2 linked regions of the Alligator mississippiensis genome follow. The protein of the gene in region 2 binds, or shares a complex with, the protein of the main gene of each other region. Links are inferred from orthologs where the notes say so. Each region holds a gene or a part of one and is shown on either strand. Other genes may lie near its edges.

Region 1 (8,172 bases), on a different chromosome or scaffold from region 2:
AAAAAAAAACTCAAAAAAGGGAAATGGGATTGTAGTCTACAAAACTGGGAAGGAGACTCAGATGCAAGGTACTTTTTACTTAAAGCCCCCTGCCCCCCCCCAAAAAAAACCCCAAACAAACCCCAAAACAAAACAACACAACACAGATTCATAGTTGTAGGGTTGGAAGGGACCTAAGTAGAACTTCAAGTCCGACCCCATGCTGTGGGCAGGAGAGAATACTGGGCTCATATGACCCCAGCTAGGTAACAATCAAGCCTCCTCTTAAAGTCTTCGCATCTGCACATACTCCAACAAATAAGATTTCAAGCTGATGTCACATGAATGGATATTAATGAGTAGTTTTAAAATATTATTATTGATTTTAATAGAACCAGAGCTAAAAAAAAAGCAATACAGCAGAACATGAACTAAAATTAAAAAAGTTACCAAAAAGAACTAAACAAATGACATAGAGGTGGCAGATGAGAGTTGTTTGAGTAAAGTGATCATTTTCTTATCTGTATCTGTTTTCACACACAAGGCTTGAGCTACAAATGTCCTCAGATATACCACACATTGAAATGTCTGTTAGTCTTTTAATGGTCTTCAAACAGCATGTTGAAGAGCTGAATTTCACAAATTCGAGTGAAAGTAAAGCATCAGTTTAATTTTAGTTAAAACTTAAGTTTTAGTTTGACAAATCTAAATCGATACCCTTTCAGTAGATATTTTCCATCATAACAGAACTGAGAGGAATGCTTTCCAGAAAAACTCAGACACCAAGTTACCTCTAGGCAGTCTTTCTTGTTGTGTGTCATTGCACCACAGTTCTCACAGGCCCCTTTGCGATATCTTGTTGCTAAAGCATTCTAAACATGAAAAAGCAAACATTATGTGAATGTAAAGTAGCATGACTGACCCACGATGCCAGTACTTAGCTTTGCCTAATCAAGAAAACAAGCCTAATTAAGTAAATGAAGCACAAGTACATACACCTGTATATACAAGATGAGCTAAAGCATTTACAGCAATTTCCAAATACCACAAACTATTTTGTAGAAGTTTTCCTCCTTCTTCCCTACTTAATCATGAATGTAGAGAAACCATAAAGAAAGATGCAATAGAACATAGGTTCCCAAACTGTGGTATGCATACCCCTGGAGGTACGCAAGACACATCTGGGAGGTATACAGAAGACATTAAGTAGTGGTGGATTTAATTTTCATTATAATAATAATTAATATTTAAGGGCTTAAAATATAAAATGTATACTGCCAGGGGTATGTAGGCAGCTGGTAAATCTGGAAGGGGGGTATGTAATAAGAAAATATTTAGGAACCTCTGCACTAGAAGTGACAGACAAAATTCCATTGAATCCAATGATGTCAGAGTAAGTTCCCAAAATTTTCTTCAGAATACAAACTGAATCCACATTGTTTTGTAGTTATTTAAAGTAATTACCAATAAAAAGGCTAATGGTTTCATTTAAGTTCCTAGAAGGAAGACAGCTATACCACCAAAAACTTACATCCTTGACAGGTTTTTGTAGCGAGACAGAGGATCAAATGGCAATAAATGCTAAGCTATACTGACTGTCTAGAGCAGGCTTGTCCAACATGCAGCCCACAGGCCGCCATTAAACCCACCAAGCCATTTTATTTGGTCCAAGGCGGTGGCGGCCATGCCGCTGTGGAGTGCAGAGCCGCAGTAGCAGAGCCATGGTGAGGCAGGCAGGGCTGGCCCACGGGCCCCAGCTAGCAGCGAGGGGAGGGGAGCAGACTGCCCCACGTGGGAAGCTAAGCAGCGGCCGCTGACACTGCCAGCCTGCGCTTGCCTCCTCACCCGCCCACTTCAAGCCAGCCCCGCTGCCCTGCCATACAGCAAGGCGGTGCCTGCTCCCCCAGCCAGTCTCCCCCTGGGCACTGTGGCTCTCCGGGCCCGGCTGCCCGTGCGCGAGGCCCCGAGGGGGTCGCTTCTCATGTGCTGCTGGGGACGGGAGGAGCCCGGCTGGGTCTGCACTGGCCAGAAGCGGCGGCAGAGCCGTGTGCCACTCGGGATCGGACAGGCCTACACCGGTCAGTCCCGAGCGGCACACGGCTCTGGCGCCGCTTCTGCTGGCCGGTGCGGACCTGGCCAGCCCCCTCCCGTCCCCAGCAGCACATGGGAAGCCGGCTTCAGCTGCATGCTGCTTTTCCTGGCTGGTGCTGACCCGGTTCTGCCCAGGCGGGTCCTGCAGCACCATGTCAACCCAGGCATAGCACTGGCAGGCTGGGCAGGCCCCAAGTCAACCCCAGCCTGGCCTCGTGGCTCCTGCAGCACCAGGTCAACCCGGTTGTAGCCAAGCAGCTCCTGCAGCACCAGGTCAACCCCTGCAACTTCACTGGTGTCAAAGGTCATGTGACATCACTTCCTGATATGATACCACTTCCTGTGATGTCTTTGAATATGGCTTGCCGGCCCACTGGGTGATAAAAAGTTCATGATCCGGACCCACATTCAAAAAGGTTGGACACTCCTGGTCTAGAGAGAGACCCAGAGGTTGAGCTGAAACCTAGCTGGTGCAATAGTTAGTGAAGCAAACTTTACCCAATACTAAAGTTACCCGAAGAGTGACTGGCTACGGTGAAACATGGCTTAAAAGAAACCACCACAATTCTGTCAAGAACACATTCTGCCCTTGGTCACAGGCGTTCCACAAGCCTCACCTTTGCTACACACCAAAAAGGTTTTTACTTACCTCTTGAACCCCTCGTTTATACCAGTCTCCAGATGTGCTAAACTGCTTCTGCTTCTCTGGCTGAGGTCTCTGGTGCTTTAGCGTAGGTCGTTTTGAAGGATCTATGTACCATGGCACTGAGGAGATGTACTGAGGAATATGAGGATTGATATCTCTGAGAAAGATTTTAAAAGAAAATGTTTAGACGTACAAATAATATAAACATGAACAGGAATCTTTTTTTTAAAAGAGCATTTTTTGTATTTAGTATAAATATTTTTGTAACAGGTGGTGTAGATATTGGTCTTCTCAATACACTGAACTGGTCTATACTTACCAAATTAAACAAACCATAATTCTCTTTACTTCGATCCATTTACTTGGGCTGAAATCCAGCCTCCAACCGAGTAACTTGACTTGGTATTATGAACAACATAGGATCTTAGGGAAAGAGTTATACTCCCCCCCTTCAGCAGTGAAAAAACTGAGCATCTCCATCTGGTGAAGGAGATGGAAGTAGAGGAAAGTGAAAGAACAATCTACATTATAACAAATCTTCTATCCGACCCCCCATCCACCACTAAAATGCCACATGGCTCCATTTATTACTGGCATCTCCACTTGCCATATACCAAATAAATGTTAATTCTGTGTAAAAGGAGTCTCTACCCTTGCTGAAGAGGAAGAGGATTTGGGTCTTAAAGAATAACTCACAAAGTTGATAAGTTACACTAAGCCACTGTTAGTGTAATTTTGCATGTTTCTTGAGATTTTCTTTGGCTATCAGCAGGGAGTAGAAATGTAAATATTGTTTTAAAAATTATCTTTTTAACCTCTTCTAATTATAATGGTTAAACAGTTAACCAATAACAGAGCTGCTGCTGGGAGCCACTCCTGGGGCCTTTTGGGTGGGTAATGCAGTGGCAAGCCCAGCCAGATAACACAGCCCAAATGAAGCTCCTAGGTTGGGAGGGAGGGAACAGCACCTGTGAATGAGCAGCTCACTGCTTAGTTGATAAGTCATTAAGCTGCCTGCTGTTTTCCTTTTTAACCTCCTAGGCTAGGGTACTACTCTCCGCCTCACACCTTCCCCTCCTCCTCCCTCCCCTGCAGCCTTCCAGGTCCTGCTGGGTCACTGCGTGGCTTCCTCGCCTCCCTTTCCCTGCCAGATGGGCGCACTAAACAACCAGTAAGCTAACCAGTTGTCACCGGGCTTACCAGTTAATTATTTACCTTTTAACATCCCTAGCAGAAATATTACAATTACATCCCATCGGTAACATTGAAGCCTTAAGTAAAACTTACTTTCCTTCCTCGTCTACTTCGGCTGGTGCATTACCCAGCTTTCTCTGTTCTTCTAGCTCCTTCTTCTTCCTCCAGTCCTCTCTTGTCATCTTCTTTGGCTCTTCCAAGCCCACATCATTCGAACCTCCCGGAGGAGTAGAGGCTATTACAGCCCCAGATGCCATGGTCTTTTCCCTTGCGAACACGTACAGACGTACTGAAAAGGACAATTTCCGGCATTATGAAAACTGAACAAAATCCATTTCAACCCGTTGTTTTACATCACTGCCCTTTACCTTTATCATTTACCTTTATTCACCGCGCTTAGCGCCTTCCAGCTTCCTAGTTACAATTCCCAAGAGAGAATTTTACCCCATGGCCTGGCTGGTCTGGACTGGGGGGAGAGGCTCCCTCTGTAGTGAGGCCTGGCCCCATTTTGGGGATTTCTTGGGGCCCGGCCTGCCCCACTCCTCCATGGGGGCACGATTCCACAAATGCCAACTCCCATGAGAAAAAAAAAATCACGATTTCCAAATGAAATGAACTCGGACTCGTGATCTCCTGATGGAGAGATCAACTCCCGGGACTTTTCCTTCTGACGCGTACAGACAGCGCCGAGGCGGTAGGTCGGGGGGGGGGGGGAGCGGAGGGGACTACGGCGCGGGGGAGAGCGGGGCCGGCACTGGCGTGACCGGGGCCCCAGGGCTGGGACGAGTCACGCAACGCAGCGACGCAACCTACCTGCCGGGCCGTGTTTACCCAACTAGGACTCGGCCTCTCCCACCGTGCACCGCGCGACGGCTCTAGCTCCGCCTTTTAAAGGCGTACGACCCCTGCGAAGGGATGGAGCCTCAGCCTCCTCCCGCAGCACTCGGGGCAGGCCGATGTCTCTGACGAGGTGTCGGCGGCAGGACCCAGCGGGGTGGCGTAACTGCGCATGCGCACACACAACTTCCGGTTGATGGCCGCTTTCGTGCTGGCGGCGACACGCCCCTCCCCTGGCGGAGCGGCCTGGCAGCCAATCGGGAGTCCGAGCGTTGGGGCCCGAGCGAAGCAGCCAATGGGAGGCAAGGTTGATGTTTAAAAGCGTTCCCGCTGATTGTATTGTGTAGAGATTAGTGAGTGTGTGGGGTAGGTTGTTTGTGATCTTGGGTGGGCTTCAACCGCCGCTGCATTGCCCTGGGGTCGGGTCGGGTCGGGTCGGGTCGGGTCGGGTCGGGTCGGGTCGGGTCGGGTCGGGTCGCCCGCGGGGCCGCGCCCAAGCTCGGGCGGACGCGCTGCCCCAGTGCAGGGCACGACGCCCGGTCATGCCTCAGGCTCCGCGGGCTGGGAGCGCGGCGCCTGTCCCGGGGCGACACTCGAGAGAGCTGCAGTGCCGGCGGGGAGGGAAGCGGGTAGCTCAGCGGTCAGGCAGAAGCCCCTAAGGCGGGTGGCAGCCTGCACTGCTCCAGCGCGAGGCTGGAAGCTTTGTCAACCTTTCCACAGCCGAGACCCCCAGCCCTAGTGTGCTGCCAGGCGAGAGGTTCACTGCTGACTAAATCGGACTGCTAAAGTTTAGGGGTGCATTGATAGAGTTTTTGGGGGCTGAAATTTAAGGGGGTATAGTGGTTGATACCAGTCTGATTTCTGATACAGCTGTCTCCAGGTGGTAAGTCCAGTGTGGTGGAAGGAGAGGAGCGTGCAAGGGGCAGATCAGAGCCCTTTGATGAGGGAGGAAGCAGGTGGGGGCAGGGGTGGGGGAGGTGCAGGATGAAGCCACGGCTTGTGGGGTGGGGGTGGCTCCTGCTGCTGCTTGCACTTCTTGAGGGGTGTGCCCCTAGATCTGCACAGTATGGGGCAGGCCACTGCTGTGGTATAGATGGCAGCTGGTATGGGGCAGGTGGCAGCTGGCACTGCATGGGACTCTTCTCAGTAGGGCCCTGGGCTTGGAGCAGGCTCCGGCAGTGCTGGGAAGAAGCTGAAGTCACCCCAAACTTTGCTGTGGCTCTGCTCCCAGCCCTGTGCCACCACCTGGCAGAGCCCTGGCTGAATGCCTCAGTTCCACCCAAGTGCTGGGAAAAGCCATGGTTGGGCTGGGTGGCAGCCCAGGACTGGGAGCAGAGCCATGGCAGGAGCTGCCCCCACCTCTGAGCTGTGCCTCTGTCCCATGTCCCCTTCCCTGCCCTGGCTGGGCCACACCTGCCCCCTCCCTTGCTGAAGGGGGCATTGATCTGTGTGGGCCCCCCCACCCCCAACACCCCTTCCTTCCCACTTCCCTTTCTGACTTGGCAGCTGGAGGCAGCTCTCCACACTGCCAGCTCTGCTCCGTGCTGTGGCTGCATGCAGCATGGGCATATATCAGCCCCATAAGGCTGATATCCAGTAGACAATTTTCTTCATGTTGGTACCAATCCAATATTGGACCAATGTATTGGTGCATCTCTACTAAAATTGAGTCAATTGCTTGTGACTTCCTAACTGAAAGCAGAAGGGACTTTAGCAGTTCAGTGCGTGTAACTAAGCAGCCTAGCTCAGTGGCTGTCAGCTGGGGTTATGCACACCCCTAGGAGTACTTAAAATATTCTAGACCTAGTGTGACTGAAAAATGCCACGTGCACACACAGAGCTGCAGCACAGCACATAGGTGGCCAAGAGAACAGCCAGTTCTGGCTGGTAAATATGTTGTGAGGGAATGGGCTGGGAGAAGGGGCAGATCGAGGCCCCAGTGGTGGGGGTGGGAGAGGAGCTGGGGTGGGATGCTAGACTGAGCTACATGGGAGCAGCTCCCATCTCTGCATGCACCCCAAGAGTGCATGGGGCAGGGGGACATGTGCCCCTGGATCTGTGTAGGTAGGGTGGGATGCTGCTACGGGCTGGGGTCAGGGTTGTGCTGGGCTGTTCTTGGCAGGGGCTGGGCTAGACTGTTCTGGTCAGGTGGTGGCAGTGCTGGGAGGGGCTGCAGCCACCCCAAAACTTGCCATAGCCCCCTTCTGCTGCTGCTGCCACCACCCACCCCCAGCACAGCCTGGTGCCAGTCCCACCCCATGTGCAGATCTGGGGACACGTGCCCTCCCAGGGGTGCACATAGTGGTGGGACCTGGGGTGAAGCATGGGATGGAGCTGCAGCTTCCCCAGGGGGAGGGTGTGGCAGCTCCTGCTACTGCGTGCACCTTGGGAGGGCATGGGGGTGTGTCCCTGGAGCTGCGCAATGTGGGACAGGATGCTGCTGTTGGGCTGTTCCTGGCAGGGCCTATGTTGGGCCATGCTCAGGGCAGGTGCCATCAAGTTGCAATGTATTTATATATAAACCTTTTTGAGTAGTACTCTTAAACAATATGGAGGTAAGAAGACCCAAGTCAACTTTCCAGAAAGATGGTATAACTGTGTAGATGCAATTTTCTTTTTTTTTTTTTTTTTTTGTCATGAGAGTATCTTCCAATGTACTTCTATATTAGCACTTTCATCATGCAGGTCTCAATTGTTGCATTTCTTGAACTGGGAGGAGGTATTATTATATTCTCATGTAGCTTTCTCTTATTTTTAAGTTGTTTCCATGATCTGAACATGGCAACCCTTATATTCATAGACCAGGAGAATGGAGAAGCTGGTGCTACTTCTAAGGATCGACTAAGATTGCCTTCAACTTGTGAGTGTGCACTTTTGCCTTTAAAAATTGAACATTTTAAAATAAACCAGGAATGTGCCTGGCTTGCTATTTCTGGCATGGGAGGTGTGGGAATTCTGAGTAATATAAGCAAACATGTAGACTCTTGTTGGAACCTGTTTTCATTGTTCTTCTGAGACCCTTTTCTCCTTCAAAGGCTTCCAGGGGGCTTTATCTTTTTACAGGCAGCCTTACTCTATTTGTGGGAGTGGAGTGACAAGGAAATAATTCTCCAAGGTTAAAACTTTATCCCTATGTAGAAGTCTTTTTTAACTGTAACTAGTTCCTCCTTCCTAGGCAGAAAGTACTGAAATGGCTCATAGTGGTATTTGCGAAGCATGTAAAGAATCTTAAAACTTTTCTCTGCAGCAGGAAAAGTTCTGTCTGAAAGGTCACAGGTGCAGACTCCCCATGTTAGAAAAACAATTAATGCAACTCCAGTCGCATCTAAGTCTCTCAGAAAGGCTCTAGGAGATGTGAACAGGACTCTGCAATCCACAAAAAAGAAGGAAACTTTAAAAACACAAAAGCAGCTTGTGACTAAGGT
Region 2 (7,738 bases):
GTCTGCTCTCTGGACCCTGTTACTGGCTAGAAAACAAGAATGGGAAGAGCTGGAGGGACTATGAGAGGTCAGGCAGCATGTAGTTGGATGTGAGAAAAGCCACACAAATGAGACCAGCAATGGCAGGACTGACCCGTCACATCGAGGTACTCTGCCTGCTCCGGCTCAGGGAGCCCCTCGAACAGCTGTAGCATCCGGGTGATGACGTCTCGGCATGGCCCCGCCAGCTTCTCCAGGCCAGCTGCCTGCGGGAGGCACAATGAATAAAATGAGCAGACAGAGTGGAGGCAAACGGGGTTACAGTGACCCTCAAGCCCCCAGCCCACTGTGGAGCACATAGCTCCATTCCCAGGACTACATGGCTGATCCAGAAACAGGACCTGATCTGCCTGGTACCCAAGCTGGCTCCCTGGGTCTGGGTGTGAACCCAGGAGCAGTGTATGCCCAAGCTGGCTGACAAGCACCATGACCCATCCAGCCAGAATCCTGGGTGTTCAGGGCTGCCCAGGATTCCCATAGCTCTGGATTAGCAACGGAGATGACTGGTTCCCAGGAGAGCTCCCTCTCCCACCAGTACCTGGGAGCCCTGAAAGGCATCGTATGCCAGGCCGGCATAGAGCTGGAGGCAGTGGGACTGCAGTTGTTTCACCGTCTGCTGCTGCTTCGGGCTGTCAGGAGGCATCTGCCGAGGGAAAAAGGAACATGCCAAGTACTGTCACAGCCAAGGCCAGACTAGGGGCTGGCAGCTACAGAAGCCATGCCAAAGGGGCGTCCTGTCTGATCTACAGCACAGGGGTGATAGGTGGGTTACAGGGACCCCCTCCCCCCCTCCCCAACTTGTGCTGCCTTCTTTTTCACCCCTGCCCTTATCAGCAGAACCCTGGATCCAGCAGAGATGCCTCCACTCCCCCTGCCACAGGTAATGCCCCTGCGATCAGCAGCACGTTCCCTCGTGCAGTGCCTACATGCTGCTGTGCCAGCCCAGCAGGGGGCAAGGCCCAGCTGGATGCCAGGAGATGCTCTTGTACCCCAAAACCTCAGTCATTCCCAGACACTGCCCCCAGCCCAGCCAGCAGAGTCCTGTTGCCTTGGGCCAGGCTCTACCCTAGAGGCTGCACTCACACTCTCCAGCAACCGCCGCAGGAGCTGAAAATAGCCCTTCACGAAGGCTGAGGCACCCAGGGCATCTTCCAGCCCAAAGGGCCTATGCTCGCTCCTCCTCACGTATCCACTGAGGGAGGAGACCATGAACTGGCAACTTTCCACCAGTGCCCGGAGCAAGGGGTCCTGGGCTTCAGAGGCAGTATCCAGAGCCATAGCAGCCTGGGACAGAAGGGGCCCTGTCTGGCCCTGACCCACTGCCAGCACCCGGCTCAGCTCTATTCCAATACGCAGCAGGTCCAGTGCAGCAACAAATCCCTCCTTGGCACCCCTGGATACACTCAGGTGGACCCGAGCTTGCTTCAGGGCATCCTCGGCTTCTTGGAAGCAGCTGCCCCTGCAGAGGCGACGGCAGCGCTCCAACGTGAGCTCCAACAGGCACAGGGAGGACTGGAGGGGCCAGGGCTCCATCCCACCCCTGGCCTCCAGCAGGACTGCGAGCGGGTGGCAAGCAAGCTGTTCGCTGAGGTAGCGGGCATCCTCTGGGCTCAGCGGGGTCCTCTGAGCCTCAAACATTAGAGCGGCCACCGCAGCCTGGCGCACCGTCTGGGAGGTGAAGAAGGGCGGCTCCTGGGGCAGCAAGGGGGACTCGGCCTCTTCCAAGAGTGCCAGGAAGCACGTGGCCTGCAGGCGCCCTGAGAGCACCACCCTGGCATCCCCAAGACCCTGGTCAGACTTGGCAAGGGCGTCTGCCCCCTTCCACAGCACACTAAAGCTGCTCTTGGCAATGGCCTCAAAATCTTCATTGGGTACTGCCAGACGCTGGCACTGCCCAAGCTGGGTGCGAAGGATCCCTGCGAACCTCAGGCAGGCGCTGTAGGTGCCCGAGGCAGCCACGCTCTTCAGCAGGTGGTAGAGGATCTTCTCAAGGTAGAGGGGAGTGCGCGGGGGGCAAGCCACGATGTAGCCCTGGCACGCCAGCTCCGCTAAGTCCAGGAGGCTTTGGAAGTGCGCCACGCAGCCCTGCGAGAGCCCCAGCCAGTGGATGCAAGCGCGCAGGACCTTGTCGCACACAACGCCCTGCCAGGAGGGCTGGCTCGAGCTGGCTAGGTCTTCTGGGGCACAGGCCAGGCATTCCTGGAAGGAAGCGAGATCGTTAGAGCAAGGACACGCCTCTCCACCCCCACGTGTCGGAGGCTCCAGAGCCCCTTCCTGGGGTAACACTTGTGCAGCTCCCGCTGCCGTAGGGTCACCCAAGACGTGCAAGGGAAGAGCTAGGGGAGCCCCTCGCTCTCCCCACAGCCCTCGACTGCAGAACAGCCCTGGTTCCCGGTGCCCACACAGGGGGCAAGATGGCAGGAGGGCTGGGTAGACCCGCGACCTGCAGAAGGGACGTCAGGGGCAGCCTCACCTTCAGCTCCGCCAGCAGCGCCTCGGCCTCCTCCCGGCTGCCGGCCTGCGCCATGAAGTCTGCTCCTTTCAGGCGCTTCATGCTGCCCGCGGCCTGGGGCAAACCGGAGTCAGGGATGCAGCCGCGGTCGGTCCCTCCTCCCAGGACTCGCCGCAGGAGCAGGGCCCCTGGGGACGCTGCCCACGGCCCCTAAACCCCCACCCCCCATTGCCCCCCACACTCCCCCAGCCCCCTGCCCTTTGACCCCGGCCCCCACAAGCCCCCAGGCGCTCTGACCCCTGACCTCCAGGCCCATACTCCCCGACCCCCTAATCACAGCCCCCCTGAACCCGGACGCCCAGGCCCCGCAACACCTCGGGCCCATTGACATTGGCCCCTAACCCCTCAGGCCCATGCCCTTTGACCCTAGGCCCGCGCCCCCTGCCCCACACTCACCGCTGCTCAAACACGCCGCTAGCCGCAGCCCGGCCCCGCGCCCCGTTCAAATCCGGGCCGCATCCAATCAGCGCGCGCCTCCTCCGCCCCGCCCCTCCCGCCGCCGCGCTGCATGCCGGGCGCTGTAGTCCTGCCGCCACAGCCGCGGGGAGAACTGCGCACGCGCAGCTCCGCCCGGGCCCAGCAGGCGTTGTTTTCGGGCGGCGCGAGAGGCAGCGATGGGGTGGGAGAGCGCGTGCAAACCCGCGTGTGCCCCCAGCCCCCGTGTGTGCAAATCATGTGTGCAGTGCTCGGTGTGCCCCCAGCCCCCATGTGTGCAATGCTAGGTGTGCCCCCAGCCCCCATGTGTGCAATGCCTGGCATGCCCCTTTTCCCCCCGCATGTGGAAAGCGCTGTGTGCCTCAGCCCCCTGCGTGTGCAAGCCTGTGCGCAAAGCAGGGCATGTGTTGTGCAAACTGGGCCATGCTCAAGGCACCTGCGTGTCTAAGCCTGAGTGTGCAAAGCTCGGTTTGCACTGAGCCATCCCCAACATGCCTGCCCCCCCCCCCCAGCATAACAATAGGCGTGTGTGCATGCGTGCATGCCTGTGCAACACACGCGAAACCCTCTCAGGGCTCCAAGCAAACTAAACCGTGCCCAGCTGGGTGCGTGTGCAAGCCGTGTGGCACAGACCATGTAGGGGAGCAACCTGGGTGGGCCCCAGGGGCCCTTCTGCTCACTCCCTCTTTGCTCTTGTCCAGGTGGTTTCAAGGGCCCAGCTCTCGGCTGCGGGGGCTGTTTTGTCTGCTCCTTGGCCCCCCTTGCTCGCCCTCAGTCTGGCTTCATCGGGGCAAAACCGTAGGAACAGGATGCCTGACACCAAGGGAAAAGATGGGAATGGGGAAAAAACCTCACCGGGCATTTGGGCATTTCCAGGCTGGTTTTGTTCACCCCCGTCAAGTCCGTGCCTGTGCTCGAGGCCTTTGGCACCAGGACAGGCAAAATGTCTGTCCTGGTGAACCCGGCCCTGGCTGCCGGCACGATTCAATCGCAGCACTTGATCCCCCTCCACTAAGCACCTGCTCTCAGCTTCACTTTATCAAGGGGAACCTCTTTTTATTGCAAAGATTTCCAACTCACTGCAGGCAGAAAATCTAGGAACCAGGATCCCAGCCTGACCCTGCGAGAGGGCACACACCCTAGGTTAGTTTTCAGTTGATCCTCTGCTTTTCGGCATGCACCCGATGACTTGTTGAAGGCTCGGGGCTCGGCGTCGCCTGGAATCTGGGACTGCTCGAGTCTTTATTAAAACTTCACAAGCTCCTGAGTTAATATGCATCTCCTGAAGCTGGTCGCCATGTGCTTGTGCAAAGATTCAAGGAGACGCATATTGACTTCTGAAGAACGACATGTGGCTCTGGAGCTGCAGGCTGGCCACCCCTGTGCTAGCAGCATGGCTGAGGGGCTTGTTAGTGCACAGCTGTCAGATCCCAGTGCTGTGTGGCTTCACAGCTGCATCCCGAGTCCTGGGACACCCAATGTTTATTCCTCCAACTGTCGTGGGGAGAATCGGAGCGATCCTGTATCCACACAGACATTTCCGTCACCTACAAACGAACACAGAAGCCTGGAGTCAGGACTGGAGCCTGACCCTAAATCTCAAGACACCGAGAAGGCGACGGAAGAGAACAACTGCCTCAGTTTATTATGGAAACAATTAACCCCACCACTTTATTGGACACCTAGCTCCTGAGCTCTTGAATGGTGTAAGATCAGCACAGTTCCAGACCTCTCGCAGGAGGTTCTGGCCGGTTCACTCCCAGAGCAGGGTCCCAGCACTTCTGTACAGGCCTTTATCCTGCAAACGGTTCCACCCAGTGGGACTGACAGAGATGGGCTGAGCCACATGCCACCCTCCAACAGCTTAGCCCCTGCAGCTGTCAACTCCCTCCTCAGATGAGTGGGAGGTAGAGGAGCACAAGAAGTCAAACTTGCCCTTCCAGTCAGGGAGTGCAGGCAGAAGCGGGGGAAAGAGCTGGGAGACGAGCCCACCAAGGCTCTAGCTTCTCCTATTTTAAACATTTATGGCCAGATAAGACATTGCATGGCCCCATTAAGGCTCCTGTTAAAACTACCTCGATGCTTGAAGCCCTCTGAGTTTCCCCACTGCCGCTACTATATAGATCAAGCACCAAAATGTCTCCTGTGTTGGCTTAACCCTAATGAGACGTATCTGGGGGTTGGGGGAAGCAGGACCGGGGCAGGGACATGGCAGCATTTTGTCAGCAAGGACAACTGAGTTGGAGGTACTGGGGAGGAGGCTGGAAGCCTGGGGAGGCCCTCTCCAGCTGACAGCCAACAACCACCATCCTGTGCTGGAGGCTTGGTATGAAGGCAGTTGCAGCTGCCATAGCAGGAGCCAAGGTCCAGGCCAGGGGGCTGTGAATGGACTGGGAGTCCAGACCCAGGGGAGGTAGAGCCTGAGCAGACCAAGGCAGCCACAAACAGAAGCCCTGGGCATGTGCCAGGTCCATGAGTCCAAGGTTTAACCTAAGAGTAAAGGAGTTGCTGAGCTGCAGCAAACTGGATGGAGTCCACATTGTAGCGCGGCGCGTGCAAGGACAACAGCAGCAGCTGCCTACTGAGGAGCAGGGAAGGCCCCTGAGCTGTGAGCTGGTGAAAGCACTCCCACGCACCCCCTGCAGCTGGAGAGGACCCAGGACAGGGATTGGCAGCCAGTGCTTCCCCAGGAAAACAGAAGGAAAAGAGTGGGAAAGAGGGAAGGAGAAAACCTGGGAAGAGGATGGGGGAGGAGGGTGAGACCAGACACACTTCTGGGCAATGACCTGCTGGGTGGTCCCAGGCCTCAGCCTCTCCAACAGCCCCTGCCTCTAGGAGACGTACATGAGGTTGCGAGTACACCAGGTTCCCCAGTCCATACTGGGCTGCCTGCCCCTGCCCCCTCCAGCAGTTGCATGCCCAATCACCCTGGGATGGCCTCCAGCACCACAGCTCCTCTGAGCATGGGGAGAAGCCAGGGCAGCACTGCAAGGTGTCCTGCAAGAACCGCTCAGCCTCTGCCACCTTTGCCTCCCCACGCTCTGCAGACGCAGCAACGTGGGGCTGGTTCTTTCTTGCTTGGATCCTGACCCGTCCACAGCCCGAGCCCAGAAAGAAACCTCGCGGGCTCAAAAACCATTCTGTGGAAGCAGTTTTATTTTTCTTAAAAAATAATAACCAGAGTGGAGGGGGACCCTTGGCTTCTGCAGTGACAGGGGGTCAATACTTTAATACACAGACAATCCCCCTGCCGGCAAATGCTGGGAACCAGGTGGCTGGGCCCTGCCACCAGTGTGTTGCCTGCCACAGGCAGGCCCTTCCCCAGCACCACTGACATTGGCAGCTTGAGAAAAGAGGTAGAGGAGGGGAAGGAGAGAATTGGGAGCACTGGGGGCAAGAGGAGAACCCAGGGGTGCCGCACCACGTCAGGACAGCAAGTTCCCCAAAAGAGTCAGAATACATGAGTCCAATGCTGCAGCCCAGGCCTCAGAGCTCATTTCTCCTCAGCAGCCCAGTATCCTACAGAGCCCTGCCCTCTACAGGAGGATCACAGGCATCCCACTGCCCTCTGGGACCATGCTAGCTGGCAAGGGTTGTTCTGTCATGCCAGGTGGCTGCAACCCCTGCTCAGAGCTCTGGGGATGACGGCTCTGTGTGTCCCTGCAAAGGCGGCACCTGCAGCTCAGCGTTGTTCCGCACCACGGTGAAAAGGCTGACGACAGCCAGCAGTGCCATGACCATCATGACGGAGCAGATGGTGAACATGTTCCGGGTGCCCGTCTTGTAGTCACTGTCGTGCAGGATGAGCATGCCCAGGCAGGCCAGCAGGTTCAAGGGCACCCGGAACCAGTTCAGGACACCCGCTTGGTCCTTTTCGGGGATCACCTTCCGGCGGAGGAAGCCCATGGCCGGGAAGTAGAGCCCACAGGAGAGCTCGATAAGCAGGAAGGCTAGGAAGGACTCAGAGGGATTCTCCTGCCCTGGGTTGGTGGAGAACGTCAGCATGAAGAGGGAGAAGAAGACCATGAGGACGGAGAGGGAGAGGATGTGCATGGGCTGTAGGTGGTACCGCTTGGAGGTGGCGATGCGGTACAGTGACGAGCCCACCATGCTGGCAGCCATGAAGCTGGAGAAGACGATGCCCAGCGGAGGCCCATGGGGGTCCAGCACAGGTGTCCAGAGGAAGATGAAGATGTAGATGACGCTTTCGAACAAGGCCTGGATGATGCCCAGCAGCAGGACGCGCCGGTCCGAGAGGAGGCACTTCAGGCCGTCCGTGCAGGTCTTGGAAAGTGCCCGCTTCTTACCGTAGTTCTCCTCCCAGTTCTTCATGGCGAAGATGCCGACCAGCGCAAGGAAAGGGATGGACACCATGAAGGGCGCCACCGGGCCCAGCCCCGCCCACTCGGCAAAGAGGTTGGCCGCCACACCGGCCCCGACGGCGATGACGTTGTTCCAGAAGGCGGCTCTGGCGAAGGTGGCGGGGATCCACTCAGCAGGGAAGTCGTGCCGCTCCAAGTGCTCGTGGACGTACCACGCCTCGAAGGCGGAGAACAGCAGGGCCGTGGACAGGCCGCCCAGGATCCTCCCCACCACCAGCACGAAGTAATCCCATGACAGCTTGGTGAGGCAGCAGATGGAGTAGGTCAGGGAGAAGAGGATGCAGGATTTCTTGCGGCCCAGCCAGTCCACCAGGGAGGTGGAGACCAGCCCAAACAGGACGCTAGAGGCAAAGCCACACACGTAGATGAT

Evidence for each region.
Region 1: the proteins of ESPL1 (region 2) and PTTG1 are in contact, whole or in part, in a cryo-EM structure (PDB 7NJ1), measured with the Homo sapiens proteins. The link is inferred for Alligator mississippiensis from reciprocal best matches to the Homo sapiens genes ESPL1 and PTTG1. Residues at the interface, in NP_036423.4 of Homo sapiens: His402, Thr405, Val406, Tyr409, Ser461, Asn462, Tyr465, Tyr468, Arg505, Arg508, Glu512, Glu544, Thr547, Phe548, Arg551, Gln590, Lys593, Ala594, Val595, Arg596, Thr599, Gly600, Arg603, Gln634, Cys637, Tyr638, Trp683, Ile686, Glu690, Ile697; in NP_001269311.1 of Homo sapiens: Tyr111, Pro112, Glu113, Ile114, Glu115, Lys116, Phe117, Phe118, Pro119, Phe120, Asn121, Pro122, Leu123, Phe125, Glu126, Ser127, Phe128, Asp129, Leu130, Pro131, Glu132, Glu133, His134, Gln135, Ile136, Ala137, His138, Leu139, Pro140, Leu141.

What each region holds. Positions count from the first base shown.
Region 1 is NC_081832.1:59,020,894-59,029,065, reverse strand, and holds the start of PTTG1 (securin), read left to right. Parts: upstream 1-4,967; 5' UTR 4,968-5,049; exon of another isoform or gene 5,050-5,113; intron 5,114-5,371; exon of another isoform or gene 5,372-5,630; intron 5,631-7,506; 5' UTR 7,507-7,525; coding exon 7,526-7,607; intron 7,608-7,994; coding exon 7,995-8,170; intron 8,171-8,172. Other genes in the region: pre-mRNA-splicing factor SLU7, read right to left, coding at 771-851, 2,720-2,873, 4,004-4,167. UniProt on the Homo sapiens protein: Regulatory protein, which plays a central role in chromosome stability, in the p53/TP53 pathway, and DNA repair. Probably acts by blocking the action of key proteins.
Region 2 is NC_081838.1:9,202,399-9,210,136, forward strand, and holds the start of ESPL1 (separin), read right to left. Parts: upstream 3,004-7,738; 5' UTR 2,948-3,003; intron 2,606-2,947; 5' UTR 2,594-2,605; coding exon 2,513-2,593; intron 2,239-2,512; coding exon 1,123-2,238; intron 683-1,122; coding exon 578-682; intron 246-577; coding exon 134-245; intron 1-133. Other genes in the region: MFSD5 (molybdate-anion transporter), read right to left, coding at 6,614-7,738. UniProt on the Homo sapiens protein: Caspase-like protease, which plays a central role in the chromosome segregation by cleaving the SCC1/RAD21 subunit of the cohesin complex at the onset of anaphase. During most of the cell cycle, it is inactivated by different mechanisms.